Mus musculus: one gene and its partners. The protein of the gene in region 1 interacts with the protein of each later gene in a pairwise test. Links are inferred from orthologs where the notes say so. Each region holds a gene or a part of one and is shown on either strand. Other genes may lie near its edges.

The links.
Region 2: the proteins of Zbtb9 (region 1) and Ehhadh interact in binary tests that used the Homo sapiens proteins (3 or more experiments, as listed by UniProt). The two-hybrid records come from large-scale screens. The link is inferred for Mus musculus from reciprocal best matches to the Homo sapiens genes ZBTB9 and EHHADH.
Region 3: the proteins of Zbtb9 (region 1) and Lasp1 interact in binary tests that used the Homo sapiens proteins (3 or more experiments, as listed by UniProt). The two-hybrid records come from large-scale screens. The link is inferred for Mus musculus from reciprocal best matches to the Homo sapiens genes ZBTB9 and LASP1.
Region 4: the proteins of Zbtb9 (region 1) and Pin4 interact in binary tests that used the Homo sapiens proteins (3 or more experiments, as listed by UniProt). The two-hybrid records come from large-scale screens. The link is inferred for Mus musculus from reciprocal best matches to the Homo sapiens genes ZBTB9 and PIN4.
Region 5: the proteins of Zbtb9 (region 1) and Tsr2 interact in binary tests that used the Homo sapiens proteins (3 or more experiments, as listed by UniProt). The two-hybrid records come from large-scale screens. The link is inferred for Mus musculus from reciprocal best matches to the Homo sapiens genes ZBTB9 and TSR2.
Region 6: the proteins of Zbtb9 (region 1) and Dtnb interact in binary tests that used the Homo sapiens proteins (3 or more experiments, as listed by UniProt). The two-hybrid records come from large-scale screens. The link is inferred for Mus musculus from reciprocal best matches to the Homo sapiens genes ZBTB9 and DTNB.
Region 7: the proteins of Zbtb9 (region 1) and Eif4e2 interact in binary tests that used the Homo sapiens proteins (3 or more experiments, as listed by UniProt). The two-hybrid records come from large-scale screens. The link is inferred for Mus musculus from reciprocal best matches to the Homo sapiens genes ZBTB9 and EIF4E2.

What each region holds. Positions count from the first base shown.
Region 1 is NC_000083.6:26,971,677-26,976,256, forward strand, and holds Zbtb9 (zinc finger and BTB domain-containing protein 9), read left to right. Parts: upstream 1-1,502; 5' UTR 1,503-1,638; intron 1,639-1,879; 5' UTR 1,880-1,946; coding exon 1,947-3,326; 3' UTR 3,327-4,527; downstream 4,528-4,580. UniProt on the Homo sapiens protein: May be involved in transcriptional regulation.
Region 2 is NC_000082.6:21,766,909-21,770,902, forward strand, and holds part of Ehhadh (peroxisomal bifunctional enzyme), read right to left. Parts: intron 3,613-3,994; coding exon 3,508-3,612; intron 1-3,507. UniProt on the Homo sapiens protein: Peroxisomal trifunctional enzyme possessing 2-enoyl-CoA hydratase, 3-hydroxyacyl-CoA dehydrogenase, and delta 3, delta 2-enoyl-CoA isomerase activities. Catalyzes two of the four reactions of the long chain fatty acids peroxisomal beta-oxidation pathway.
Region 3 is NC_000077.6:97,823,300-97,827,293, reverse strand, and holds part of Lasp1 (LIM and SH3 domain protein 1), read right to left. Parts: intron 2,453-3,994; coding exon 2,345-2,452; intron 1-2,344. UniProt on the Homo sapiens protein: Plays an important role in the regulation of dynamic actin-based, cytoskeletal activities.
Region 4 is NC_000086.7:102,117,795-102,122,462, reverse strand, and holds the start of Pin4 (peptidyl-prolyl cis-trans isomerase NIMA-interacting 4), read right to left. Parts: upstream 2,995-4,668; 5' UTR 2,942-2,994; coding exon 2,899-2,941; exon of another isoform or gene 2,733-2,898; intron 796-2,732; coding exon 722-795; intron 1-721.
Region 5 is NC_000086.7:151,093,342-151,097,776, forward strand, and holds the start of Tsr2 (pre-rRNA-processing protein TSR2 homolog), read right to left. Parts: upstream 3,203-4,435; 5' UTR 3,172-3,202; coding exon 3,088-3,171; intron 2,915-3,087; coding exon 2,824-2,914; intron 1-2,823. UniProt on the Homo sapiens protein: May be involved in 20S pre-rRNA processing.
Region 6 is NC_000078.6:3,596,221-3,600,214, reverse strand, and holds part of Dtnb (dystrobrevin beta), read right to left. Parts: intron 3,567-3,994; coding exon 3,353-3,566; intron 1-3,352.
Region 7 is NC_000067.6:87,220,009-87,224,002, reverse strand, and holds part of Eif4e2 (eukaryotic translation initiation factor 4E type 2), read right to left. Parts: intron 3,084-3,994; coding exon 2,949-3,083; intron 1-2,948. UniProt on the Homo sapiens protein: Recognizes and binds the 7-methylguanosine-containing mRNA cap during an early step in the initiation. Acts as a repressor of translation initiation.

The DNA of each region.
Region 1 (4,580 bases):
CCCTCACCCAGTCTCCCTCCCTCCCGCCAGCTCCATGCTTTTTCGGTGTTTTTCTGTACATAGCTCTCTGGCGGTATAGGGGAGGTAGGATGGATGGGGTTTGGGGTGGGTAGGCCATGGAAGGGGAGAAACCCCTCCCGGGTACCCCCTCTTCTCTGACTGCTGCCCCCTACCCAGCCTTGTCTCTTCACTCCTTGCGTTTGGTATTGAGAATTCTTCCCAGACTCCAGACTCGATCTTTCTTTTGTATGGACAGCTCTCCTTCGGTCTAACCCTCTACATACACCCACCCAGCCGGGGCCAAATTTATACTTATATAAAAGTTGTAAATATGTGAAATTTTATCCCATGCCCTTTCCTCTGCTTTCCCCATCAGGCCTTACCCTTGAACCTCCTCCCTCCTCTTTGGCTGTTGTAATTATCTGGGGTTTGTACTGTACATAATTGGGGAGGGGGGCTGGGAGGCGACCCCTCTGTACAGAGCTTCCTGGCTCCCTAGCCCCACCCCTCACTTCCCTCCCCACCCACCACCTTAAGAGTAGGGAGAAGATCTTCTTACTCTTTTTTTTTTTTTTTTTTTTTGCTGTTTGTTTACTCGTTCTCCTTCCTGCCCCTGCTCCCAGACTCTTGGTCCCCCACCACTGCCCCCCCTTTTCTCCCACTCCCAGGCCCATTTCCTTTTTTTTTTTTTCTTTTCTTTTCTGGAGTGTGTGGTGAAACAGAAAAATCATGTTTAATAAACGGAGATTGTTCTTTTATCACTGGGCTGACTTTTATTTATTTTTGGATTTTCAAGACAGAGAGTCTCCTTGTGTGGCTCTGGCTGGCCTGGAACTCTGTAGACCAGGGTGGCCTTGATTGAACTCAAGAGATCTGCCTGCCCCTGCCTCCAAAGTGCTGGGACTAAGTGCTGCCTCCCCCGGCGTTGGGCCGACTTTTTAGCCCGGGGTCTCCAGAACGACCTGAAGGGTGACAGGGACTACTTTTGGAAAGAACAGTCCTCTTACATTACACACTATACCACCCAGTCAGGAGAACAATATATACCGCAGGGTCTTCCTGGTGAAACTCACACTCCCGCTCTCTCTCCGCCGCAGCACTGGACTCGCTTTAGCGCCCCAAAGACTCCAAGTGCAGGGTCTGTGCAAGACCCTCTTGACTTAGGGCTTAATTGTGAGGACGCTCCTCTGCGAAATGGAGGAAAGGACCCAGGTCCTCAGCAAGCGTGCGCTCCAGACTTCAGACCCGGTTGTCCCGCGTGCACGCGGAGGGCAGCAGCACCTACCTCGCGCGGCGGGACGAGGGAAGCAAGCCTTACTGCGGAGCCCGTGGCTCCCCTCACTGCTACTCCAGAACTGAGGGAACCGCCTTCCACTTCCGCCGCCCTCCCCAAGCCCCGGCCCTCCGTCCGCACAGCCAATGAGGAGACGGCTTGTAGGCTGCCGCTCTCCCATTGGCTGCAGAACTGGTCCCGCCCTCCGTGCCTGGCCGCATTGGCGTCCGGCGGAACTGCGGTAGCTTCCGGCCGGCCAGGCGCACTGGCGGTTGAGGTGCTCCGACGCGGTCGCGCGTGCGGTGGGGGCGTGTCGGTGGGACGTCGCGGGGCCGGAGCTCACTGAGCCGGCCGGAGCGAGCACGGTGAGGAGGGGCGAGCGGTGGCGGAGGGCGACCGGAGCCGGCGAGGTGGGGCGCCATCCCTTCCCTCCTTAGCTTCCGCTGGGCCTGGAGGTGTAAACCCTGGTGTTTTGTTGGGTTTCCTGGTGGGCGGAACTAATATACAGAAGCTTGTCACCGAAGAGTTTTCAAGGGTCGGTGGCGAGCGGCTTGAGACAGGTCTCATACCCCGAACTTGTGTGACCCCAGTCTCTTTCCTCCGCAGCCTTCACCCCGTATAGAACCCTGCACTGCCCGACTCCCCGGGATTTATTTCTCTTCCCGAGGTAGCCATGGATGCTTCGACTCCTTTGCCTCCCGCATCCTCATCTCCGAGATGCAACCCAGCCCCACAGACAATCCACATTGAGTTCCCTCATCATAGCTCTTCGCTGCTGGAATCCCTGAACCGCCACAGGCTGGAGGGAAAGTTCTGTGATGTGTCCCTCCTGGTTCAGGGCAGGGAACTTAGGGCTCACAAAGCAGTGTTGGCTGCTGCCTCTCCTTACTTCCATGACAAGCTGCTTTTGGGGGATGCGCCCCGACTGACTTTACCGAATGTCATCGAGGCCGATGCGTTCGAGGGACTGCTTCAGCTCATTTATTCAGGAAGCCTCCACCTGCCGCTGGATGCCCTCCCTGCCCATCTCCTTGTAGCCAGCGGCCTTCAGATGTGGCAAGTGGTAGATCGGTGCTCAGAGATTCTTCGAGAACTAGAAACGTCTGGTGGGATTTCAGCCGGTGGAAGAGCCTCCAGCCTCACACTTATTTCCACAACATCTTCAGGAGGCTGGTGCATTCGCTCTTCCCCTTTCCAGAACCCAGTACGCTCCTCTGCTTCTACAGAGAATTCTGTTCTCCCTGAGAGCCCCGCTGGAGGGGAGGGGAGTGAACTAGAAGGAATGTTACAGATTCAGGTGAAAGTAGAGGAGGAAGAGGAGCAGGGGTCAGCAGCTCCACTCTTTCAGACTCCTCAGCCGGAGAGAGTGTCGGGAGGGGTTTCCCAAGCTTGTGGATCCCACCCATTGCCTACACCTGCTCTTCCCAGCAAGCCTTCAGAGGATGAGAGCTCAACAGTAGATCCTCCTGCCCCTCCTGTACAAGCTTCCCAAATCTTATATGTGAATCAGGAAAACGTTGAGTGTAAGGAGGAGATAGCAAGAGGCACAAAGGAAAAGACCAAAGTACTATCTGGAGAGGACTCTGAGGAGAAGGAGGAGCTGAGATACTTGCTGTCCTCAGGAGGAGGGGAATCGTCTGGGGCAGGAGATCCATCGTGGAAACCAGTGGATCTTCATGGGAATGAAATCCTGTCAGGGGATGGAGGACCTGGAGGAACAGGGCAGGCTATGCATGGGCCTGTGAAGCTAGGAGGGACACCCCCTGCAGATGGGAAGTGCTTTGCTTGCTTGTGTGGAAAACGGTTTGCAGTAAAGCCGAAACGAGACCGACACATCATGTTGACGTTCAGCCTTCGCCCTTTTGGATGTGGCATCTGTAATAAACGTTTCAAGTTGAAGCATCATCTAACAGAGCACATGAAGACCCATGCGAGAGCTCTGCATGCGTGTCCCCATTGTGGCCGTCGATTCCGTGTCCAGGCCTTCTTCCTTCGCCACCGGGACTTATGCAAGGGCCAGGGCTGGCCCACTTACCACTGGACTTACAAATGACTACTGGTGCTCTCTAGTGATTTCTAGGACAAGATAGCCCCTGCTGCTGCTGGACTCTTACCTTCACCACCTCAGTCCTGGATTGTATAATCATTCCAAGAGATTATATATATTGTCATGAACCCCTTACTCTTGGGTATGGGTCTCACCCTGGTAGTCCAGGTTTAGACAGACTTTAGAAAATCATGCTTCTGGTCACTTAACCTAAATGGCCCTTTTTGTATTGATAGCCAGTGAAGGAACTGCTGAGCTCAGATTAATGAGAGAGGAGTTGGGGCATAGTCACCCAGTAACTCTTAACTTCATCTTCATGGGGGGGAGAGGGAGCTGGTCTCCAACTAGGAATGCATTTGATTCAGAGCTCAAGTAATTGCCAGACTAAGGTCTGAGCGGCTTCTCCCTCCCTGTTAGCAGTATTCTGTTTCTGTACTTTCTGTCATTTTCCAGATGCTTTTTAGGTTCTCACCAGTATACACCTTTCCCAAATATCCTTTTAAAAATACTTGAGTGGGGCTGGAGAGATGGCTCAGTTATTAAAAGCACTCTGCTCTTCTAGAAGTCCTGAGTTCAATTCCCAGCAACCACATGGTGGCTCACAACCATCTAAAATGGATCTGATGCCCTCTTCTGGCATGCAGGCATACATGCAGACAGAGCATTCATACATTTAAGAAAAATGTATTTGAACATGCAACAAGTGTGGTGCACACATTTAATTACAACACAGAGGAGGCAGAGGCAGGTGGATCTCTTCTAAGTTCAAGGCCAGCCAGGGCTACACATGGTGAGACCCTATCTTTAGGGGTAAAAATAGTACTTGAGCACTTTAGCAAACTGAGCATTTCATATTCTATTCTGAAAGTCCATAGTAGAGTGTATTCCCTCAGCAGCCTTCACCTTGTCCGCCTTTCACTACCACTGATAACTTGCTTATGATCACAATGACAGATATGACCCACGAACTCAGGAGATGGCAGGTGACCTACAAAGCTCTCAGGGTGGCATTTGCTCTCTGAGCAGATCGCCCTGCTTAGAGGAACTCAGGGTTGAAACCACACGTGGTGAAGTCTGCAGAGGAGCTACAATGGGACCGTACTGCTTTCTTCACCCACACTTGGTAGAGGTAGAGGGGTAGATAGTAGAATGGAGGTGAAGGGAAATTTAAGGTTGTTAATAAACTCTGCCCTGAAATCTAAACTGACAGTAGACTGGCTTGAGTGAGTGCTGTGGAGATGCAGAGCTGAGCTGCAGGAG
Region 2 (3,994 bases), on another chromosome or scaffold:
CTAATAATGACAAAATCTTTAAAATACCATAACAGAGGGAAATGTTATATGGGGCAATGATTGGCAATAAAAAAGAATTGTAAGTTCATTGATAAGGACTTACAGTATAGTAAATTGATTTTTAATACAGGAGAAAAGATAGTCCACATGGCAAAAAGAGTCTTTTTTTTTTCCCCCTTCCCTCCAAAAGGTGGTGGGATAGCTGACTACAAAGGTGGGATAACTGACACACAGGTAGGAGAACCAGACACACAGGTGGGAGAACTGAATACACAGGTGGGAGAACTGATACACAGGTGGGAGAACTGGATACACAGGTGGGAGAACTGATACACAGGTGGGAGAACTGATACACAGGTGGGAGAACTGGATACACAGGTGGGAGAACTGATACACAGGTGGGAGAACTGATACACAGGTACTAAATAAGTAAATGAACTCTGTTCCCTGCCAAGCACCCACCTCAAAACCAGCCATAATTTCACTGAACTCTTAATACTATACATTTTTCTAGGGGGAGGGCCAACAAAGGAACTTGAGCTAGGCACCAGAACCATATGGTTCTATAATCTTCTTAATTCAATGAGATGATTTTAAAATCAGATAAACATGCACTCATGCATGCGCAAGCACGCACACACATACACACACACACACACACACACACACACACACACACACACACACACACACACCCAATTACAGTTACCAAAACTCAGCACCACATAATGGGTTCTAAGAAGATCTACCATCTCAAGAATGAGCCATCATAGCATAAAAGACAAAACAAAACAAAACAAAACAAAAAACCGGAAGGCTGGACCAAAGCAGACTCAGCCAGGCTTGTGACCACTTCTACCCTTGGTTCTGCTCACAAATTTTTACAAAACAAGGGGGTCATACTTCAGACAGACACAAATGTAGTCCTCTCCCACACACCCTTCTGCCAACTGTGCAGGAAGAGATTAGCAGTCTGCCTAAAGAGACTCAATGTGTACCTCACATAAATTGTTTCCTTAGAGACAAAAGACTCAAGACTCCTTTCCTCTTCCTCTGACCCAATGTGCTGCACCCATGTTAGACTCCACAAATGACGGAGAGAACAATTGCCTATCGTCAACTCTAGGAAGGCCACTCACGGCCCGAGGCACCTCAACAGGAGGCCTCCTGTGTGGGTCAGGCCACTCCATACCTTGGAAATATTCACAGACAGACAAAAGGTAGATTACAAGGAGCAAGCAGTAAAATGAAAAGCAAGACCAAGGAAAGCACTAGGAAAAAAAGGAAAAGGAAAAACATCCTTGGCTCCTCTTGTCTGTCTGTCTGTCTCTCTCTCACACATACACACCAACACACCCCCACACACCACTTACCACTCAGGCAGAGCCTCACCACAGAAACACTTGTTCACCACAAGCAAGTTACATACCTCCATCCACTCTTCTCAACAAAGTTTTCAAACCATCACAAAGAATTGCCCCTAGCCAGAACCTTAGGCAACTTGAGTTTTAAGGCAGACGATGGCTCAACGTTGGGGTGCCATCAAGTGGACAAACTGTAATGTTGCTGAGACCAGCATCATTTTGTTTTATAGACTTTGGGGTTTAATGTTTAGAATTAACTTTAAAAACCAAACCAATAAACACCCTGGACCATAGTGTAAGTGTGATAGACCTTGGTTCTAATCCTGTCTGAAGCACTCAACCCTCGAAGCTGAATTCAGGGAAACCAGGGAAGGACAGAACTTCCTATGGGAACCCAGGCTGCTACAAATGGAAATCAATAGTGGCCTGGGGCGCTCTCTGCAAGCAAATTATACAAGTCGGTGCCCACAAGCCAAGCAGCCCTCCCTGGGGCACAGAGACACAGACCAGTGATAGTAGCCTGGGAGGCAGAGCGCCACAGGGAGGCATGGCGCTGCAGGGAGGGTGCTTCCATTGCGGGCAGGACTTGCTGACTCCTAGTTAGAAGGCAGCAGCATTTTCCCATCGATACCTCCTCTTTGTAGTGTGAGTGCCACTGTCACACCAAACCTACAACTAGTTGGACCATAAAAAACAATTTCAAAAACTGGTCCCTGCCAGGGGCATGCCTTGGAGTGGCCCGAGCCTTCCGTGTCACTAAGTGGAGTCCGACAATCTTCATGAGTATTTTCTTTTCTTTTCTTTTTTTTAATTTTTAATATTTTTTATTACGTATTTTCCTCAATTACATTTCCAATGCTATCCCAAAAGTCCCCCATACCCTACCCTCCCCCACTTCCCTACCCACCCATTCCCATTGTTTTGGCCCTGGCGTTACCCTGTATTGGGGCATACAAAGTTTGTATGTCCAGTGGGCCTCTCTTTCCAGTGATGGCCGACTAGGCCATCTTTTGAAACATATGCAGCTAGAATCAAGAGCTCCAGGGTACTGGTTAGTTCATAATGTTGTTCCACCTATAGAGTTGCAGATCCCTTTAGCTCCTTGGGTACTTTCTCTAGCTCCTCCATTGGGGGCCCTGTGATCCATCCAATAGCTGACTGTGAGCATCCACTTCTGTGTTTGCTAGGCCCCGGCATAGTCTCACAAGAGACAGCTATATCTGGGTCCTTTCAGCAAAATCTTGCTAGTGTATGCAATGGTGTTAGCGTTTGGAAGCTGATTATGGGGTGGCGTCTCCCTGCTCAGAGGCTGCAGCCGCCATAAACTTTCCCACAGAGGTTGTCAAGTCATTTGGCTTCTGTTGTGATTTTTCTTGAAAGAAGGCTAGTGAAAACTAAACTCTGGCTTTACACTCAGCTCCTGGTTACGTCCTCAGCAACGGTTTCAATTTTTTCTAGCTTTAAAGGCGCAGCTTGAAGTAAAAAACAAAAACAAAACAAACAAACAAACAAACAAAAAAAAAACTAAACTAAACTAAAACAAAACCCAATAAGCCATCTATCAGTAGGTGGTGCTAAAGGCACACTTGAAGGAATACCGCTGGTCTACAAGCCAGCAGGGCCAGAAGTCACTTGCCCAAGACAGAGGCTGTGCTGTCTCTGAGAGCCCTGCAGAGCCTGACCAGCTACATACTTGTTCCTCTGTTTCAACTTTAATTCTAATTTTCAAGCAGGAAAAAAACCACTCATAGGGTATAAAATCCCCCAAAGCACGGCAGAGTAAAGTATAGAGCATTGCCTTTGAACTTCAGCAAATGTCCAGTTCCACTCCAGAAAGAGTCATTCCCCTGCCTGTGAACGCTTCCGACATACACAGAAGTTATGCATACCCACTCTCAACATATTTACCTTCTCTTCCACCCCCACCCCCTTGTTTCCTTACACCATCCGCAAAACACCACTTAAAATAACATTGTTTTCGTTAGCTGATACAATATACCATGGAGTTTATGCCAGATCAATGCAGTTTAAAGCTTGGCTACATTCTATTAAGTGAATGCCCCATCAGTTGCTTAAGGAGTTCCTTATTAGAATGCATGTTTAGCTTATTCCTAATCTTGCACTATTTTCTATTATTGTTTACCTATAACCGTCTGAGCAAATTTGATGGCTTCTTCAACTGGGTCTGACTTTACAACTACATCCAGAATTCCAAGCTTGAGTGCTTCATCTGTTGAAATATGTCTTCCTGGATCAAAAGGAAATAAAACAAATCAAATAACAGTGCGAGGACCCACTGGGGCATTGCTCTGTCTAGTGGGGAAGGTTGCCATTCCTGGAGATACGAACTGGTAAGTGAAATGCCTAAGGCCAACCTGGCTACTGTACTTGGTGATTTGGTTTTGAGACTGGGTCTCACTATGTAGCTCTGGCTGCCCAGGAACTCCACACATAGACCAGGCTGGTCTCAAACTCAGAGATCCACTTGTCTCTGACTCCTGAGTGCTGGGATTAAGAGGTATGAACCACCAGGCCCAGGCTGAACTATTGTGGTTGAACATCCCTACAGATGTGGCCTTCTTTGAATTAAGCGGTAGCTCTGATTCTTACTGTTAGAGAAACCGCAGGGA
Region 3 (3,994 bases), on another chromosome or scaffold:
GCTGAATGTTAGGCTCCGGTCCAGGGGTGCCAATCTGGAATGCTGGGAGACAGAGGCCTGAGTTTTCATTCAGTGCCCAGATGACAGAAGGGGATCCTTTGTGTATGGAGAAAACTGAACCCATGGGTCCTTGTGGATGCTAAGCCCTCTTCCTTGGAGCTCTGCAGCCCAGCTGACTGTGCGGGACTCTTGACAGAGACAGACCCTGGTCACACTCCCTAAAACCAGGAGAAAGACTTCCGGCTTTTACACCTGCCAGCTCAGGCAGATCCAAAGCACCTCCCCCAGCCTCGAACCAAGGCAATCAGCTAATTGCCTCTCCGAAGAGGCTGATAAGATGCTATCGGTAGTGTAGATACGGTGGCTACTGTAGGCTTTTGTTACCAGAACTCCTCAGGCATTTAATGTGCCCAACGTCGAGTAACAGGGTGCAGGAAGGTAGGTGAAAGAGACTGGGTGTTAGGACACTCGGGAAACCTTCCAAGAAAGTAAGGCAGAGATGGCTAGGGCTACTTCTCTCTTCCAAACTAACCCGGTAAATCAATGAATGAAATGTCCCAAAGGTTGACCGGAAGCGTCTCAAGACACAAAGCCACATGATTCCACCTTTGTGAGCCATCCCAGTTTCCCAATCACCCAAGACCACACCACTTCCCCTCTTTCGATCTGAGGCGCTCCGGGCACACCCTTTTACCCTTTGTGTGATCTGAGGCAGAAAGGAAACGCCAGGGTGTGAGCCAGGCCCAGACTGGAAGAGGGCAAACTGCAGCAGGCTTTCCTGGGGGGCCAAGAAGGGTTTGCAGCCTTCTGAGGCAGGCCCTCCAGCTCAGGAGAAGTCATTCAACAGGCTGTTCATTTTAAACTTCAGCCCAACAACTGGGTTGCAAAGCCCACTTGGTTGGACTGCCCCCAGCATTTTTAATGAAACAAGAGAAAATACTGAATGAACTTTCCAAGTCCCCCCTCCACCCCCACCCCCCCAAAAAGCAGTCACTTATGCTTCCTCTTTGTAGTGCGAGGGAGGGGACTCTGGGCCCTGTGCACGCTCTATCACTAAACTTCAGCCCTCCCTCCTTTAAGAAGTTTTCTTTGTTTCGTGTGCATGGGAAAGAGGGTGTGTGTGCGCATGCGTGTGTTTTATTATAAAGCCCAGGACGGCTTCAACCTCTTGATCGTGCCTCAGCCTCAAGTGGCTTTGAATCCATGACTCTCCTGCCTCAGCCTCCCAAATGTTGGGAGTTACAGGTGTGTGCCACTAAACAAGACAGAGGGCAGAATCAGAGCGTTAACCACCCTGCAAGAGGGTGCTTCTGTGCCGGGTGTTTGGGGGGGGGGGGGGCGGCGCAGACCAGTGAGCTATGAGACTTGTCCAGCGACAGAATGGGGAGAGATGATCCTGGAGGGTGTGTGCAAGGCGAGCCACCTGAATCTGGATCCTGTCTTCCCCATCCTTAGTCCCTCAGCCCAGAATGACACAGGCAAACTGGTAGACCCTTTCCTGTGATAGACACGAGGGTATCGTATCGGCCTGCTTCATCCTTCATTTATAAGGAGTCTGTTGCCAATGACGGGGCATGTTCTATAACTCGGCATTCAGGCTTGTGCCCATGTTCTGTGACGTCACGCCCAGCAGCACCTACCCACATACTCCCAACCCGGCCCCTGCAAACCCGGAGCCATACAAGCTGCTGGTCTGCGGCTATGTAAGGGTGGAACTGAGCGATGATCCCTAACCCCAGCTGCTCTACAGAACCATATAGAGACAGTCACTCCGCCACCCACTCTCCACGCCTATGTCTCACAACCAGACACCAATGACCAGTCCCTGACTGGGCCTGAAAGGGCCTGGAGGGGGTGTAGGGCCTGTGGGCAAAGCCAGCTGGGTTTTCACACAGGAAGGAAGAACAAACTGAGGTGGGAGGCAGTCGAGGGAGGGCGGAAATGACTGCTGTGTTAGCACCCAGAGGCAGACAGGAGGCTCAACCCCCAACCCCAGCTTTGACCCTGGTGCTAAAAACAAGCATCTAATCTGCACTCCGACCCCATCCCCACCATGACCAGGGAACGGGGTCTGCTCCAGAGAATGGAAGGTGACTTAGACACTCTGTATGTGTTTGTGTGTCTATCTGTCTGCCTCTAAAAGAGCAGTCTCTTTAAGGAGGAAATGCCATTTGGGCAGAGTGCCCACCAAAGAGGGAGAACAAAGAAAAGGCTCCCGGGTACCTCAACTCCCTCCCCCTTGCCTCTGATCTGACCACTGCGGCGTGGGCCTTTGCTGAGGTTGTCAGGGAGAGGATGAGAAGGGAGGGCAGAGGGTAGCCTGGGCATCAGGGCAGGGTCTCACATTGCTGATCTGGTCCTGGGTCTTCTTGATTCTCTGCAGCTCAGGCGTGTCTGCCACCACGCTGAAACCTTTGCCCTTATTCTTCTCAAATTCCTCCTTGTAGCGCACCTGGAGGCCAAGAGGAAAAGGAGAGCTTGGGTTCAGGTGGACATGAAGATGAGCTTGCCCGGCCTGAGGCCCCTGGTCAGAAACAAGCCCCCCATACACCCACACGTACACACAATGCAGAAGCCTAAGACAGAAGGTGTCAGAGCAATAATAGCCCCATTAAGTCATATCCAGAGGGCTCTAAAGGGAGGCCACACGTTGAATGCCTATAAAGAAGCAGTATCTTATGAGGGGAAAGATGGCTCAATGGTTACAAATACTAGCTGCTCTTCCAGAGGACCTGCAATAATTACGTAGAACACAAAAGAAAGGAAACAAAGATGGAGTCACTTCGGCTCAAAATCCTGACATCCAAATACACCCAAAGAGAGCATTAGCTGGGCATGGTGGTGCGAGCAGTGGTAGTGAACATGGACGTGATGGCTTGCTGTGCACCAACTGGGTTTGCATAGGACTTACAATCTGCTCGTGCCAACTCTACCCACTCACTGTCTGGGAGTGAACTGTCTCTAGATAGCTGCGGCATTGGCTTGGAGCTAGATTGTTAGTTTCGTTCACGTTTCTTTCCTTCTTCTTAAAGTGGGGCATATGAACAAACTGGACATTCAAAACAGACACCAGACTGCCCACCTCTCTGTGACACGTAACGCAGGTCCAATCCCTAGCGCCATGAGGCAACTCACAGTCATCTGTAACTCCAGCTCTAGAAGGTCTGAAGCCCTCTTAGAGTCTCTGAGGGAGCCAAAATAAAGTTTTGAGTAAAAAGGTCATTTCTGGGCTGGAGAGATGGGTCAACTTGGTTAAGAGCACTGACTGCTCTTCCAGAGGTCCTGAGTTCAATTCCCAGCAACCACACTGTGACTCACAACCACCTGTAATGAGATCTGATGCCCTCTTTTGATGTGTCTGAGAACAGCTACAGTGTACTCACATACATAAAATAAACACATAAGAAAATAAATAAGCTGGGCAATGGTGGCGCACTCCTTTAATCCCAGCACTTGGGAGGCAGAGGCAGGCGGATTTCTGAGTTCAAGGCCAGCCTGATCTACAGAGTGAGTTCCAGGATAGCCAGGGCTACACAGAAAAACCCTGTCTCAAAAAACCATAAATAAATAAATAAATAAATAAATAAATAAATAAATAGTTGGGGGGTGGGGGAGTCACTTTTTTTTAAAAATGTCATTTCTACTGCCTAAGGTCACATGGCTTAGCAGCACATGTCCGGAGACATAGGGATGCTGGGCTCCTAGCCCTACACTCTTCCTGTCTACAACTATAAAAAAAAAGCCCTTGCCAAATCTGAGTGTTAGCAGCCTGCATCCCAGCCAGGAGATGGCCTGACCCACCAAGAGTGTGGGGGAATTTCAAAGCAAATAGCTGAGCTAAGGCTGTGTGGGTCAAAGGACAAAGCCGCTGCCCAAGGGAGCCGTGAGTCCATCAGTGAGCCTCTGACGAGCCAGAATAGCTCTCCGGAGCCCGCCAAGCCGGCCTCTGAGAAGCAGTTCTGCAGCAAAGAACCTCAGAAGAGAGGTCCGAGCT
Region 4 (4,668 bases), on another chromosome or scaffold:
TATATGCTTGGCCCAGGGAGTGGCACTATTAGGAGGTGTGGCCCTGTTGGAGCAGGTGGGATACTGTGGGTGTGGGCTTAAGATCCTCACCCTAGCTGCCTGGAAGCCAGTATTTTGCTAACAGCCTTCGATGAAGATGTAGAACTCTTAGCTCTGCCTGCATCATGCCTGCCTGGATTGCTACCATGCTCCCTCCTTGATAACAGACTGAACCTCTGAATCTGCAAGCCAGCCCCAATTAAATGTTGTCCTTTATAAGACTTGCCTTGGTCATGGTATCTGTTCACAACAGTAAAACCCTAACCAAGACAGGGACTATCTCCCACCCATGGTCAAAGTAACAAATGTGTGTGCATGTGCATCTGGAGGTCAGAAGATAATCCTTTCTAGGGTGCCATCTACCCCCTTTTTCGTTTTGAGATAGGGTCTTTCACTGGATTGAAACTCACCAACTAGGCTTAGGTCTTTTCTCAAGCACTTTAATGACCGAGGCTGAAACCCCAGTCGCTAAGTTAACACATTTAAAGGAACAGTGCTAGAAGTGTGAAAATTCTACCTTTTAAAAGTGAGACTGGTTTTTGGTTTCCAGTTTTGTATCATCTTGAATTTAACTTAGTATTAAGCCTCATAGATAAGGACAGGTTACTCACACTGTCTTTTCTATGCATACCCACTTACTAATACTTTACATGGAAAAGAGGAGACACATAAGATAACTCACCTTTACTGCATTGCCACCACCTTTAGGACCCTGAGACTTCTTGTCAGCACTGTCACTCCCAGAGGCTGCACCTCCTTTAGAAAAGAGAGGATAGGAACTCATTTCGACTGTACTTTGACATTTATAGATAGGTCCAACTCATAACACAAGGTAACCCATCCATTACAGCCCCAAGTTCCAAAAGGCTACATGGTGAGTCATGCAATCAAGTTAACTTACTCTGTGACTCATCTCTAATAACAGGAAATGTGCCGAACAAAATACTTCACAGAAAACAGATAAAGAAATGAGTGTGGGCATGGATGCAGGCACTCCAGAAGCCTGGGCCAGATTCTTTAGACTCCATTCCAAATCTTGCCTTCTAACTTAACACTGCCATTATATAAAATAATACAATTTCTATTATATTCTGTGACAGTGTGTTTGACACCTGAAATTCTAACATGCAAAATCTCCAACAATGCATTTTGAGGGGTTTGGTTTTATTTCAGAGTGCTTGGTGTGTGTGTGTGTGTGTGTGCATTCTTTTCCCCTTCAGTCTACCACAACAGCTACTGATATCCTCCTGGAATCTGCTACATTCAGGCTATCAAGCATTGGTAGCACATCTTACTTCTTTTAAGTTTTGTGTCGAAGGCAGCATATTAAGTGTTAGAGGCCAAGGTGTCTAAGATTAAATTAAGTATTTAGTTTAACAACTGTTTCCTAAATAATTCCCCAGTTCAAGTTCTTGGGGGTACACAGTGAATAGGATTCAAAGCCGCAGCCAAGGAGCTCGTATCCCAGTGAGGAAGAGAGACCACATTCTGAGAGTCCGACAAGCGAGAAATTGTGGAAGGGAACACATATGTCAGCTAGCCAGGTACCACCTGATGGATGAACAGGAGCTGAGCAGCTAAAGGACAGTGTACCCCTGGTGACCTCACACTCAGGTCCTCCTCAGCCTCCCACTGCTGTGGCATGTCTCTGCAGTGCCTCACCCATTTCTCAGACCTTTCTTTACAACATCTTGGTTCCTTGGACCTCTGGGGTATCACTCTACTACACTCCATTTATTTGTCTCTTCTCTGGGTTCCTACAACCACAATCTTAGTTCAGGCCAACTCTCTCTCTTACCAGAACTACTGAAATCATCTCTCTCTCTCTCTCTCTCTCTCTCCCTCACTACTCTCCCCTCTCTGTTTGTTTGTTTGTTTTTAAGACAGGGTTTCTCTGTGTAGCCCTGGCTGTCCTGGAACTCACTCTGTAGACCAGGCTGGCCTCGAACTCAGAAATCCACCTGCCTCTGCCTCCCCAAGTGCTAGGATTAAAGGTGTGCGCTACCGCTGCCCGGCTTGAAATCATCTCTTTAAAGGACCTCCTGGCCCCTAACCAACCTTAATTAACACCATATACAGCACACCTCATGATTTAGTTTTCTTCTGTTTTAATTTCCCCAACTTGCTTATTTGTTTTGAAGTTTTACTTCAGCGATGCTATACTAAACTGCCTTTGGGGCTGGCCTCTCCGGGTTGAGGACTCTTTACCCTATTGCTGCTGCTTATCTCAGCCTGCCCAAAGTATCTCCAGTTTGTTTCTTTACCCTCTTTCCACCTTCTATAACATAACTCTCACAACTACATTCGGCACAGTACTTAGAGGCTACTATCTTCCCCACATTGTCCAGCGATGAATAAGAGTTGTCTTAGTTTTCTAGCCTGAAAGCACAATGTTGTCCCCAACAACGGTCTTCAAGAAGCGAGTCCCTCCTCATGTGTGTGTGTAGGGGAGGGGAGGGGGGGGGAGGTACGTCCTGTTAGTTGTTAAGAGGCCTAGATGGACTAGATTGATCACTAGTGTAGGCTTCCTTTTATTGCTGGCGTTTCATCAGATTCAATTTTAGTGGGAATAAACCCCAGGTCACGAGGAACCATCCCCAGCAGCTTCTATTGCCCGCCACGAGGGTCCCTGCACTGAAACCTCATGGATACCCTGAACCACAGCAGCTCCTCACGCACTGATCTTTCCTTACCACAAGAAGCCCAAACATAAACCACAGCGGCTCAGGGTGCTCCCGGTGGCCCTGCTGTCCGGCTTATGATCACCTCCCTCCCCCACCCCACACAGCTGCAGGTCTACTCCTGTCCTTCTCCCCATCCACCCCTACGCTCGCTCCATGACTGTCTCGGCAGGTCTACCTTTCCCTCCTTTTCCAGAACCACTTTTCCCCTTCGGCGGCATCTCTTAAGCTGGCGGATGAACTCTCCGGCAACTGTTCCGGTGCTAGCAAAAGGACCCCTCAGGCCCCACAGGTATGTCCTCCGCAATGCCTGAAAGCAGCGTCACAATCAACTATTTCTGCTGCGGTTCCAGAATCAGGCATAGCTTGGAACAGACCCAGTCCTTTGGTTCTTTGACCTATAGGAGCTAGAGATGTTAGACCAATGAGAAGCCGAAGCCTTACGGGGAGGCGGGAACAAAGGTTGCCCAGAGACGAGAAAGCGCAGCCTCTATTCTGTTCTTCAAAGCTTTTACTTGCCCTCATTTGCACTTGTTCTTTGCTCTCTCTCGCCCCGCCCACTTTTTTGTGCATGCGCAGTGCGAGCCTCAGGCCACTGCAGTTCTTTGGCGTGGGCTTTTGCTTTGGGGATTCTAGACAAAGGGACAGCAGAGGGAGTTTAGATAATGGCCTTCTTCCGTCCTCTCTCCGACTGACACAGACCTGCACTCCCTAATGGCTTTTCTTACTTACTTGTTTGTTTATATTTTTGCAGCAGTAGTTGATGGGGTACAAAAGATGGAATTTTTTTTTTAAAGCCTATCATCCCATTGCCTGTGACAGGCAGAAGTCTGTCATGGAGAAACATTGGAAGCAGCCTAAATTAATTTTAAAATAACGATTATAAGCTGTGTGTACAGAAATAGCCTTAAGGAAGATTATAGACCAAGATGTAGAATGTGATTTTTTAAAGTTATATATCCTGGAGAACATAATCTATGCACCTAAAAGACAAACAAGGCATTAATGCTGTTCAGCAGGATAGCATGTGACCACTCGTGTCAATCTATATAGTATTCATGTCTCTGTATTTTTCCAGAGTTCTTTTCTTTTTTCCTTCCTTCCTTTCTCTTTCCTTCCTTCTTTGCTTCCTTTCTTTTTTCTTTTGATACAGGGTTTCTCTGTATGTAGCCCTGGCTGTCCTGGAACTCACAGAGATTTGCCTGCCTCTATCTTCTAACTGCTGGGGCTTAAGATATGTGCCACCACCTTCCAGCTCAAAGTTTGTATGACAGCACAGCATAAGGCAATTTAAAGCTTGGATTCTGGAGGCACATGACCTGCTTTAAAACCCCTTCTACTAGTCCTGTGACCTTGAAGACGCTCTTGGGCTCAGTTTCCATCTTCTGCGAGATGGTGTTGTTAAAGTATCTGCTTATGGAGTATCATGAGAAATAATTTCATAGTCGATGACTAACTGGGGGCGTTTACTTAAGATGAATAGCTTTTGAATTTGCATCCCAATGTGCTCTTGATCTCTCTTTCTCACTCAGTCTCTCTTTTTGAGACCAGGTCTTGCTTAGTAGCCTAGACTGTTCTGGAACTTACTATGTCCTCCTGCTTCTGCCTCTCAAGTGGTGGGAATCATGTGCCACTTGGATACATTTTTCTCTTTCCCCCACAATCCTCCCCTCCTCTACCAATAATTTTCGTATATGACATCTTTCCCTCTATTCCATGAGATCACTGTCCTATCTTGGCTATCTGACTCAGCTTAGTTTTTGTCTGTTTTTGCAATACTGGTGATCAAATTCATGGCCTCACCAAGGCCAGGCAAGAGCTTTATGGTTGAGCCACACCCCAGGCTAAAATTTTGTTGTTGTTGTTGTTTGTTTGTTTTAGATAGGATCCCACTATGCAGCCCAAACTGGTCTTAAATTTCCAATCCTCTCACTTCTGCCTACTGAAT
Region 5 (4,435 bases), on another chromosome or scaffold:
GCTCTAGGGATTGAACCCTGGACCTCTTATGTTAGATAAATACTCTACCAATTGTGTTACATTCCCAGCTCAATTTTGCTGAGTTTTACGGGAAGATCTCCATAAAAAGCTAATGGAAAACAGAGTCAGGACTGATGGCACACACCTATATAACCCTGCACTCAGGAAAATGAGGCATGAGGAACATAAATTCCATGGCAGCCTGAGCTATAGAAGGAGATACTGTCTCCAATTACTACTACTACTACTAGGAATAAAATAGCAGCTGGAAGAAAAAAGCTTCTATAATTTGACTGGAGAAACATTTTCTTCATTGAATATCTAACGAGACAAGTCTTTTATAGCTTGAATTTTACAGACACTGGCTTTCTATCTCTATAAGCAAAGTCACAGAAGGCCTTTTATCTCTTACCCTTTAGTCAGTGTCTCTGTACACACACACACACACACACACACACACACACACACACCATTCTCTACCACTCTTCCATCCCCTTAATATAATGCACTTAACTCCTTTGAGTACATGCTTTATCATCTCTACCTAGTTTCCCCCTTTTCATTCCTTAGGCCTCACTCTAATCGCTACTCTTAAGAAGGCCTCTTACTGACCAGTGGTGGCGCGCACACCTTTAATCCCAGCACTTGGGAGACAAGAGACAGGTAGATCTCGGAGTCTGAGGCCAGCCTGGTCAACAGAAGAGTTCTAGAATAGTCAGTGCTACATAGCGAAACCCTGTCTCAAAAAAAAAAAAAAAAAAAAAAAACCCAAAAAACAAAAATCAAATCAAAAAGGCTTCTCCTCAGGCTCAGTTAACTGAAGAATTCTGAGCTCCTCTTTAGCATAACACACACCACCCAGTATTTTAACTATTCATTTACTTACCTGAAATCACTCACTAGATTGTAAATGTTGAGCTGTGAATCTGCCTAATACCATCCTCAAAACTAGGATATTGGGGGCTGGAGAGATGGCTCAGTGGTTAAGAGCACCAACTGCTCTTCCAAAGGTCCTGAGTTCAAATCCCAGCAACCCCATGGCGGCTCACAACCATCTGTAAAGGGATCTGATGTCCTCTTCTGGTGTGTCTGAAGACAGCTACAGTGTACTCATATAAATAAAATAATCTTTAAAAAAACCTAGGATGTTAATGAAGAGTTAAAAAAAAACAGCATGCAATACTCTAAGTCCTCTTGTTCTTTTATACCCCACCAAGACAAAATGGAAGTGTAGAACTTTTGTGTAGAAGCAGCAGCATGTGCTTATCGAGCACAAGCACTTAGAATGTGGCTGGTCACAAATGAGACGTACTAAGACTTTTAAAATTCCAGATTGTGCCGGGCGTGGTGGCGCACGCCTTTAATCCCAGCACTCTGGAGGCAGAGGCAGGTGGATTTCTGAGTTCAAGGCCAGCCTGGTCTACAGAGTGAGTTCCAGGGCAGCCAGGGCTACACAGAGAAACTCTGTCTTGAAAAACCTAAATAAATAAATAAACTCCAGATTGTGAAATTTAATACTAAAAGTGAAAAATGCTTAATTCTTATGACATACTAAAATATTTTGGAAGAGGATTTTTGTTGTATTTATTTCATGTGCATGTTGTTTTGATTGCCTGTGTGTGCACTGTGTGTACCTGGTGCCCAGATAAGGACAGAAAGATGATATCAGAACCCCTGGAACTGGAGTCATAGATAACTATGAGATACCATGTAGGTGCTGGGAACGGAACCGAGGTCCAATGCAAGAACAAATGCTCTTAACTGCTGAGCCATCCTTTCAGCCCTGTGTTACTTATTTGTTAATTACATGTATGTGCATGCACATGTGTACAGATGAGGAACATTTTGGATCCTCTGGCGCTGGAGTTACAGGTGGTTGTGAGCTGAGAACCCAACTCAGGTTAGGAAGAGCAGGACGCACTTTTAACAGCTGAACATTTCTCCAGCCCCTTCTTTTATCATAAGGACAACTTGGGGATATGGAGCTTGAAACTTAGAGCAATTCCCCTGTCTCCGTCTCCCTGGTGCTAGAATCACAAACATGGCCCATATGCTAGACCTTGGATATGAATTTAATAACACTATAATATTTGCTTCTTTCATTCATTTATTCATTTGTGGTAGTATGAGTAGTGTAGAGCCTCACATGTGTGTAGTAAGCAAGCACTTCCATTGAGCTATATCTCCAAGTCTTTATATTATTTTTATTATGAGACAAGGTTGTGGTGAATCTGAACTTGAGGTCCTTTTGCATCAGGAATATGAGAGTACATGCCTGCACCACAGGGCCTGGCTGCCTTTTATTTATCAGAGGTACTGCTTTTAGTTTTGGTGGCACCAGGGTTGGAGCCCAGGGACACGAGCAGACTAGGAAAGTGCTCTACCACTGGGCTACACTCCTCACCCAACAATTTTAAAATTATATTTACTTGTGTAGGGAGAATCAGAGGACACCTTAAGCGTGTACCAGTTCTCTCCTTCCATGTTGTCCCAGCTATGAAATTCGGACTGTTATGCTTGTTGGCCTTTGTCCACGGAGCTGTCCCCCACCCCTCATCCAGCAATTTTAAGTTACAAGATATGACTCGAATAGTTCTTTTCGTCGGATCTTTCCATAACCATTTTAGAAAGTAGGAAAATGACTCTCTGGAAGGCAAAATGCGTTCTCCAGCATAATAGCATTTGAGTGTCATTGCCTCTAAGGCACTCTAAAGACACAATTCTGATCTCAAAGTCACGATTCATTCATCAAACGCGGGCTCTCTACGTCGAGGCTCTGCCACGCCACACTGCGACAGACAGCAACACCTCACATTCACTCACCATTGGCGATGAAGTAATCCTCCACTGCACCCCCTAGCCACTCGGCCTTCTCCTGGCTGTGCACGCCCCCGAAGCCATTCTCCACAGCGATCTGTGAACACAGGCCCAAGCCAACCATGACAGCATGGAAACCAGAACGGCGTGGCCTGCCGGGGCCTGGGAGTCTGCCGCTTACACCGCCCAGCCATGGCTCTGGCGCCTCGCCTGGTCAACTTCTATTTTGTCACAGCCTTAATCGTGACCCCCCGCCAGGACCTCACTTACCTGTAAAGCAGGCCAAGCCTCCAGCGCAGCTCGGACTGCAGCTCCGAAGAGCACACGCACATCTTCAGCGGCGCCCGCCATCATCCGTTTAGATCACGTGGCTCCCAGGCAGCCCAATCGCTAGGGCGACCTCACCAGGCAAAAGGAGCCAAAAGCCGATTCTCAGAACGTGGTTTAGTTTTCTGCCAATCTGGCTGGCAGCAAGACCAGAACAGTGGGAAACGCCATCAGTGGTAGATGCTACCACTTACCACAGTAAATCCTAATAATTAAAGGAGAACCTGGAGCAGAGTACTTAGGAAGCATAGCTGAAATAAAGAGGAAAGGAGAAAAGAATAGCGAGGGCGAGAAAACCTACATTTGCGAGGCTCAGCAGATAAAGGCAATTGCCTCCAAGCCTGAAGAACTGAGTTCAGTCCCTGAGCCCTACAGGATGGAACTAGAGAACCGATTTCTGCAATTTCCTCTCACCTCCACATGTGTTACACGGCATTCACAGGCGCAGGCACTCCCACACACAATAAATAAATGTAATTTTAATTTTTTAAAAATAATTATTTTATATATGTGAGTACACTGTCACTGTCTTCAGAGACACCTCAGAAGAGGGCATCGGATCCAATTGCAGATGGTTTTGAGCCACCATGTGGTTTCTGGGACTTGAACTCAGCTCAGGACCTCTAGGAAGAGCAGTCAGTGCTCTTAACCGCTGATCCATCTCTCCAGCTCCAACAATTCATTCTTGAGTCAAATATGAGTGACCATGTCCAGGATTCAGGTTGTCCAGAAAGATATTTTCTTTTGTGGAAGTGGTCAAATGACATTTTAGTAGTTACAGAACAAAGAAAGTCCTAAGTCAAAGCATTTACTAAATCTATTGATAGAGACTACAGGTAGTGGGATGAGGAAATTTCTGCTTAGGTTTCAGATACTGTCTGATGACATTCTTAGCTTTTGGATTCATAGATGCTCGCTGTTAAGTATGTATTTGAAAAGTTGTGATAACCACGAGATTTCTCGTTCAGATTCAAGGGAAGACAAGGAATTGTTTTCAATGGGATTAAAAGTAGCTCAAGGTCATTTGTCTCTCCTCTGTAACATTTTTACTCACCCCAACCACAAAGCTCCGTCATTTGGTCCTATAGAACGGTCCATACAGATGTACCTGTTCTTTTCTCTAGGAACTTCAGTTTCCACTGTGTAGCCATGTCTGGTATTGGACTCTTACCACACTCTCCTAAATTCTAGGACTAATCACACACCACCACACTTAGCACAGAATATAGATTTTTCTGAAGTTCACAAGAACATTCTCCAAGACACACCATGTAGTATTCCACACAACAGC
Region 6 (3,994 bases), on another chromosome or scaffold:
GGTAAGAACTAAACAACCATGTACCCCAGGGGCACACACACTGACAGTCTGAGTGTAAGACACAACCCTGCACACATCTGGCCCAACCGCTCAGGTACTTCTGTTTGATATTCCAAAGCACTGGGCCTCTCTTCTCCCTCTTTACCTAGGCATGGAAGGAGGAGGGTTGATAGTAGATGAAGGCAGGCATCTTGAAGTCAGCACAATGATAAAGCTGACACAAGAGACTAAGTGAGGAACAGCCTGAGGAAAGGCAGCCAGAGCCAGCCACTGCAGCAGCACAGGGCTGGCATTCCTGCAGACTCCTGGCATCACGGACTCTCTCAGCCTGGTATCTAAGACACTAACATAGAGGCAGAAAGCAGAAAGAACGTTGTATGTAAAAGCCCCAGAATGTAAGCCTAGCAAGGAATTGAGGCAGCCCTGCTGTCCCTGCATGCCAGGAACATGAATTTCCCTGCTCGACCAGAGCACAGGCCATCAGCACCTGTGGTGTGAGGGACCGTGGGGTTGAACATGAGTTCGTCAGGGTTTCCAGCGCTCCCTGTGGTTTCCCCTCTGTCCCACACACAGACACCTGTACGGTCCAGCGGTTCTTAAGTTCTCACGTAGTACTTAGAGCTCTCACATTTAAAAAACAATGAATCCTCAGGAAATATTCACTTGGGCTGGTGAGATGGCTCAGTGGGTAAGAGCACCCGACTGCTCTTCCGAAGGTCCAGAGTTCAAATCCCAGCAACCACATGGTGGCTCACAACCATCCCAAACAAAATCTGACTCCCTCTTCTGGAGTGTCTGAAGACAGCTACAGTGTACTTACATATATTAATAAATAAATCTTTAAAAAAAAAAAAAGAAATTATTCACTTAAGGAACAAAATCCAAACCCCAATTGTTCCTAATCTGTGTAGAAGTTTTATCATCTACTATGCCACTGAGAAATCATTTAGACAAAAATACTAACTATAAATCTGGAGGTGAAAGGAGTTAAAATTAACTAATTACTGAAGTCAATCTTTTTTTTTTTATCTGAGACAGGGTTTCTCTGTGTAGCCCTGGCTGTCCTGGAACTCACTCTGTAGACCAGGCTGGCCTCGAACTCAGAAATCCACCTGCCTCTGCCTCCCAAGTGCTGGGATTAAAGTCGTGCGCCGCCATGCCCAGCTCTGAATTCAATCTTTAACCTTGGAGAATTATAAATACAAAGTATGAAAGACTCGACTAAAATAAGTAACTAGATAATCCACACATCAAAGGAACTGCCCAGCCTAAATCATAAAAGTGCCACTCAATAAAATGGCTAACATGAGGATTTAACACTAAATGCTCTGATATACAGATATACAAAAACAAAGTCAAATTATCAGATCCCTAGTTATTTCCAGTATAAAGAAGACAATTTTAAATTTCTGGAGAGATAAATGATTCTTATCATATATAGATCTGAGTTAATAAAGATGTGAATAATATATTCTGACACCCTTATTGATCTGAAAATTACCAAGCTCCCCTCTAGCACAGCACATTCCTGCCTTTCCTCGGCCCCTCTCTCTGCATTTGCTAGTTGTTTGGCTTGCTCATTCAGACATGTTTCCCCCTCCCCCTCCCCCGCCCACCTCCTCTCTTTTGGCAGGACCTGGATTGAACCTAGGGTGCTCTACACAGCACCAGCCTTCTCTGTCTCTTCTGATAAACTATCTAGCTATTCTCTGTGTGTGTGTGTGTGTGTGTGTTGCACACAAGTGTGTGTGTTAGTGGTGTGAGGCCATGCATGCACACACAGAAGCCAGAGGACATCGGGAGACTGTATCCTTCTTGCCTTGAGACAGGGTCACTCATTGAGTCGGAAGCTCACAGCTGTGCTAGGTTGGCTGGGTAGCAAGCTCTCAGCACCCACCTATCTCAGCCCACCCAACACTGAGGTTATGGCCATAAGCAGCCACATCCTTCTTTCTGTGTAACTGGTGGGATTCAAACTACAGCTCCAGGATGACGGCTGGGAACCACAAAGCCTGACATTTTTAAAGTTGGCTCTGAGATTATGCTGAGGTCCTGCTTTTGCCACACTTTTCATAAAACTGAGCCACCTCCCCAGCCAGAATCAGTGTTTTTAATCCCCACTCACCTTTCGAGTGGTAAGGTAATTTTTATTACTATATTTTTAAAAATTGTTTATTGATCTGATTTGTGTTGTGCAAGCCTGGAACTGGCTGAATCGCTGGGTTAGAGACATGATGAGATCTACAAAGGGTAGCAATTTCTACCCTGGGTTCTAGATCACGGAGTATGAGATTAATGTTTGGATTCATAACCCTATTTTTTAAATGACTTTACGATTCTGGGACTTTTACCTGTTATAGACTCTTATTTTTAAAATTCAAATTTCTTTAAGTAATTTTCTATCGAATGGGTAAAAATATCCAACTTGCAACATAAATATATTATGGCTCTGGGGAAAGCCTAATGCGTGGCCTGGCTTTGTCCCACCCATACTTTCTCACTAACTCACTGAATCTCTGCTACTGTAACATGCAACTATTACCATTTTACTAGCTTATAAATTCAACATAAAGAGAAAAAGACAGGGCTGGAGAGATGGCTCAGTGGTTAAGAGCACTTACAGCTCCTCCAGATGTCCTGAGTTCAATTCCCAGCAACCACATGGTGGCTCACAACCATGGGATCTGATGCCCTCTTCTGGTGTGTCTGAAGACAGCTACAGTGTACTCATATACATAAAATAAATAAATCTTTTAAAAAATAATAAAATAAAAGAGAAAAAAACACAAAGCAGGGAGCATTCCCATGCAAATCCAGTGGTAACACAACACCAGAGAGAAGAAACAGGAACTCTTGGTTCCTGGAGCAGAACCACTTCTCAGCATCCCATCCCTTAGGATTGGTTTGCTTTGGTTTTTTACAGTAGAGGAACTCATCTCCATTTTAATTATGATACGCTAAGGTAGTTTCCCGCTCATGTTGTGAGGTCTACCGAAAAAGTCTGAAATAGATTCTTAGAAGTTTATGAAGAAAAAACTTCAACTCAAAGGCATTTGGTGTTACAGAGTAGAGAAAGATAGGTTAAGCGTTTCTTATTCCTTGGGAACAGGCCTATCATTTCACCAGACAGTATGACTCAGGTGGGTGAGTCTCCTCCACTGCATCTACAGTGGAGCTCCAGCTGACGCACACCAGAGGACAGTGAGTGGCTGGCTGTCCAGGATGCAGGAAGGGCTTACACTGAGCAATTCACCTCAAGTGCGGCTCTAGGCTGACAAGAGTTAGCAAGGCAGGGTGAGAAACGGGAGATGAAGAAAAGGGCAGGATTGAAAGGAAGTGAGCAGGTACGAGCCTGTCGTAGGCGGCGACCATGAAATTGAGTAGGAGACTGATGGACTGCTCCACGCTGATCTGGTGAGTAGAAGGAAGGCGCTTGTTCAACTGATAGTAGATGGACGAGATGACGGTCTCCAGGCGGGACACGCTGATCTCCGTGCTGTGGTCCAGCGTGTTAAGGCCATTGTCTCGGAAAGCTTCGATCATATTCCAGATATCAACAAGATGAACTAAATCAAAGAATATAAACTGTCAGAAATTTTAAAGGACAGTGTCACCTCACAACTGGACATTTAAACTGATTGACTCATTCCACCTGTATTAAGTAATTGATGCTTTGAATCTTTGTAAATAGCGACCCCTGTGACCTCTATCAGCTGAGAGTACAATAGAAAAAGTATACCAAGAATTACTCTTAAGAACGTCCCCTTTCAAAACAAATTATTGTTACATTTACTTATTTGAAGCATGGGATGTTGTTACGTATATGCCGGATGTATATATGTAATGGCACACGTATGAAAGTCAAAGTACAACATTTAAGAGTTGCTTCTTGGACTGGTGAGATGGCTCAGTGGGTAAGAGCACCCGACTGCTCTTCCGAAGGTCCAAAGTTCAGATCCCAGCAACCACATGGTGGCTCCGTAATGAGATCTGA
Region 7 (3,994 bases), on another chromosome or scaffold:
GAGAGCTGACTCAGGGCCAAGTACTCTGGTTTAACTTCCAGAGGACCCAGATTCATTTCCTAGCACTCATGTGGCAGCTCACTACCATCTGTGAGTGACAGTTCCAGGGGATCCAATACCTTCTTCAGACTATGCACACTGTACACATGTGATGCAGATATACATTCAGCCAAACACTAATACAGATAAAATATTTAAAATCTAAAAAAACAGTTTATGAAAACTGCTGGCCTCCATTAGCAGCTTGAGGTGGCAAAGGAGGCCACGCTGACAAGTACCACCTCTCATGTAATAACAGCGCCAGCTCTTTGCACAACTGAAAACTTTTTATACTGAGGGATGTCAGGAAACACAAGGCCTCACATGTATATACTTGTAGAGCCAAATCTAATTTTCTTATTTTGTTTAGATAGGGCCTCACACTATAGCCCAGGCTGAACTAGATCTAGAGTTTCTACCCCTCCTCTCAGCTGGAAAGATTATGTCTCTTCTTTATTTACCTTGAACGTAAGAAAACTAGATTTATAGTTTTCTTTCAAATATGTTTATATACTTATAATCCCAGTATTCAGGAGCTAGGGGACATGGATCACCCAGATGGAGTTACATAGTGAGACCTTGCATAGAAAACAAACAAAAACAACAACAACCAAACAAAAAGCCCAGAGGCTGGAAATCCAGATAGCTTAGGGGTTGAAAGGACTTGCTGCTCTTCCCAGAGGACCTGAGTTCGGTTCCCAGCACTCACACTGGGTGGCTCACAACTGCCTATAACTATAACATCTGGGGATCTAATATCCTCTTTTGGCTTCTGGGTGGTGGTGGTAGTGGTGGTGGTGGGAGGGCACATGCGCACATGCACACAAATAAATAAAAAGAAACAACCATTAAACTTTGAAAGATGTCTTATTATTTTAAAGATTTATCTTATCTTTAATTATGTGTATCTATCTGTGTCTATGTGCACATGCCCACAAGGCCAAAAGATATCAGATTCCTGGGAGCTGGCACTGCAGGAAGTCATGAGCTACCTGGGAATCTGCAAGAGCAGCATTCTAGTGCCAGGAATGTGGATTATGGCTCAAGGAAGCTGAGGCAAAAGAATCACAAGTTCTGAGCCAGGCTGAGATCTAGCAAGCCCCTGTTGCAAAACAAACACGATCACAATCTGGGCTGGTCCTTGGCTCTGTGCTGAGTGGATCCTTTCTTGAATTCAAGATGAGAACATGAGCTGCAATGGCTTTAGAGGTCCTCTCTGGGCCTCTACTCCATGTCAGGAAATATTACTTGTGGCTTACAGTGCAAGTTTTGGAAAGACATCTGTTGGGAGGCAGAGGCAGGCGGATTTCTGAGTTCGAGGCCAGCCTGGTCTACAGAGTGAGTTCCAGGACAGCCAGGGCTACACAGAGAAACCCTGTCTCGGAAAAACAAACAACAACAAAAAAAAGCCATCTGAGGGGGCTGAGGAGATGACTCAATGGTCAGGAGCATTTGCTATGCTTCCAGACGGCTGGAGTTTGATTCCCAGCACCCACAGCAGAAGGCTCATAACCACCTTAACTCCAGCTCTAGGGAACCCAATATCCTCTTCTGGTCTCTGAGATACCCACAAGCACGTATGCATATATACCCAAACATGTAAACAAAAGTGAAAAATAAACCTTTAGGCCAGATAATAGTGGCGGAAGCAGGAAGACCTTGGTGAGTTCAAGGCCAGCCTAGTCTATAATAGTGACTTCTAGGCCAGCATAATGAGAGTGTTTCTAAAAAGGTAAGGAAGGGGAGGGTGTAGTGGGAGGGAAAAGAAGAAAAGAAACTTTGAAAAACAAAACACTGGAACTACAGCTTTGGATTTGAAGAGCCTCACGTTATCATTATTCTCCGGAAGGGATTTAGTATCACAGGCCCTTCCTTCCTTCTTTCTATTTTTCCTTTAAGGTTTTTCAACAAGACAGGGTTTCTTGAGTAGCTCTAGTTGTATACCTGGAAGCCTTGAACTCAAGAGATCCAACTGCTTCCACTACAGACCATTTCCTAATGCCATGAATTATGACAGCAGACTTCAGGCTCTATTTTGAATACTGAGAGTGCTGATGGCAAACCTCTTAATGTTATAAGGGGGGGGGGGGGATGTAACTTAACAGAACCCTGAAATGCCTTTCCCAGCTCCTTCTCTGATCCTAATGTTTAACCAATTGTTCCTAACATAAAGGCTGCAATGCAACTGTACTTGGAAACTGGTCTAACATTCTCACATAGTAGACAACCAAAACTGATGGCTTGTGTGTTAGCTCACATCTATAATCCCAGCACTTAAGACAGAACTGTGGCAAGATCCAGACCAGCCTCGTATTACACAGCAAAAACTGTCAGAAAACCAATTCTGCACAGAGACTAAACATGTCTATCGCATATAGGGGTGCAGGAAAACCTTTGGTCAACAAGACAATACTGGTGTTAATTGCACTCAGGGTCTCCACATTTACAAATGTAGTAAAGAGACAGGAGGGAAGGTAAGGGTGGGCTGGGGTGAGGAGCCTGAACAACTGTATTGATGGCAGCCACAAAAATAATTTTATCAGAATCCAATTTTATGAGGACAGATAATATAAACAATGAAACTGTCTCTCTTATGACTCTCTGTATATAAAGATTCAATAAATATCTGCTACAATAAAAATAAAAATCCTCAAACCAAACCCCTTTTAATTTTTGTATATGCCTTTCTGATCAGAGCTACCATTCCCACACATAAATTACCTGCACATACCTATGGATGTCTAACAACTGACCTAAGGACTGAACAAACATGACCTTGGGGAAACAGCTCAGCCAAGTAAAGAAACTAGAGTGTTTAGTAGGTTACTAGGAAAGGAGCTACACAGCAACAGAAATGCTGGTAGGAGCACCAGACCAAGGGATGTTTCAGCAAACAACTAAGTACTCACAGAGGCAAAGGTGCCAATCTGCTTGATGTTCTGCTCATAGCTCTGCGAGCTGGTGGGACGGCCAGGGGTTCTCCTCGAGTACCAAAAGGTGTAGTTGTACTGCAGGGGATGCTCTGCTGGTCCAGGGACAACAGCCTGGGAAGTGCAGAAGGAACATTAGCTCACAGTCACAGCAAACTTGTACTTCATTGTCACAATGCTGAGAGGCCATTTTATTGGATTGTTTATATTATGTTCACATTTATATACTTTATTTGTGTATGTATACATGCACACATGCATTCGTGCACATGGGTGCTTGCAGAGGCCAGAGGAGGGTTTGTGAGCTATCTGGCATGGGTGCAGAGGATCAAACTCTGGTCCTCTGGAAGAATAGCAATGCTCTTAACTACTAAGTCACTTCTTCAGCACCTTGATTTTTAAAATTATGCTTATTACTATCATGCATGTGTATGACAGACAGAATGTGAGAGCATGTATGCTATGGTGTGTAGCTCAAAGGAGAACATTCAGAGAGCTGGCTCTTCCCTTTTCACTGTGGGATCTGAGGATTGAACTTAATCATCAGGCCTGTGCCTGATGAGCCATTTCTCTGATTCCTAATAAACATTTTACAGTGCCACTCCTACCAGATGTGGTGGCACAATCTTTATCCTAGTACTGGGAGGCTGAGACAGAAAACTGTCAGAGATCATCTTCATTATCAGACTGAGTTCCCGGCTAGTCAGGGCTACACAACCAGACTGTGGATTTTTGTTTTTGTTTTTTTTTAAAGTGTATTTCTTTATCACCTTCACAACTGAAAATAATACCATAATTTCAATTATTTGCAACCTTCTGAAGTCTGCTCACACAGTATACTCTTTGCTAGTTAGCTGATTCTAAGTTGCTGTAACACAACTTTCTGCCTTTCTCATAACACGATGGGTATTCATTATCTCAACATATGCCCACTCCAGTACCACCTCCCCAACATCCACTACTAAAGACTGGCATACTAAGGATTTCACTGTGACATTTCCACACATCTCTACCAGGCTTTGACC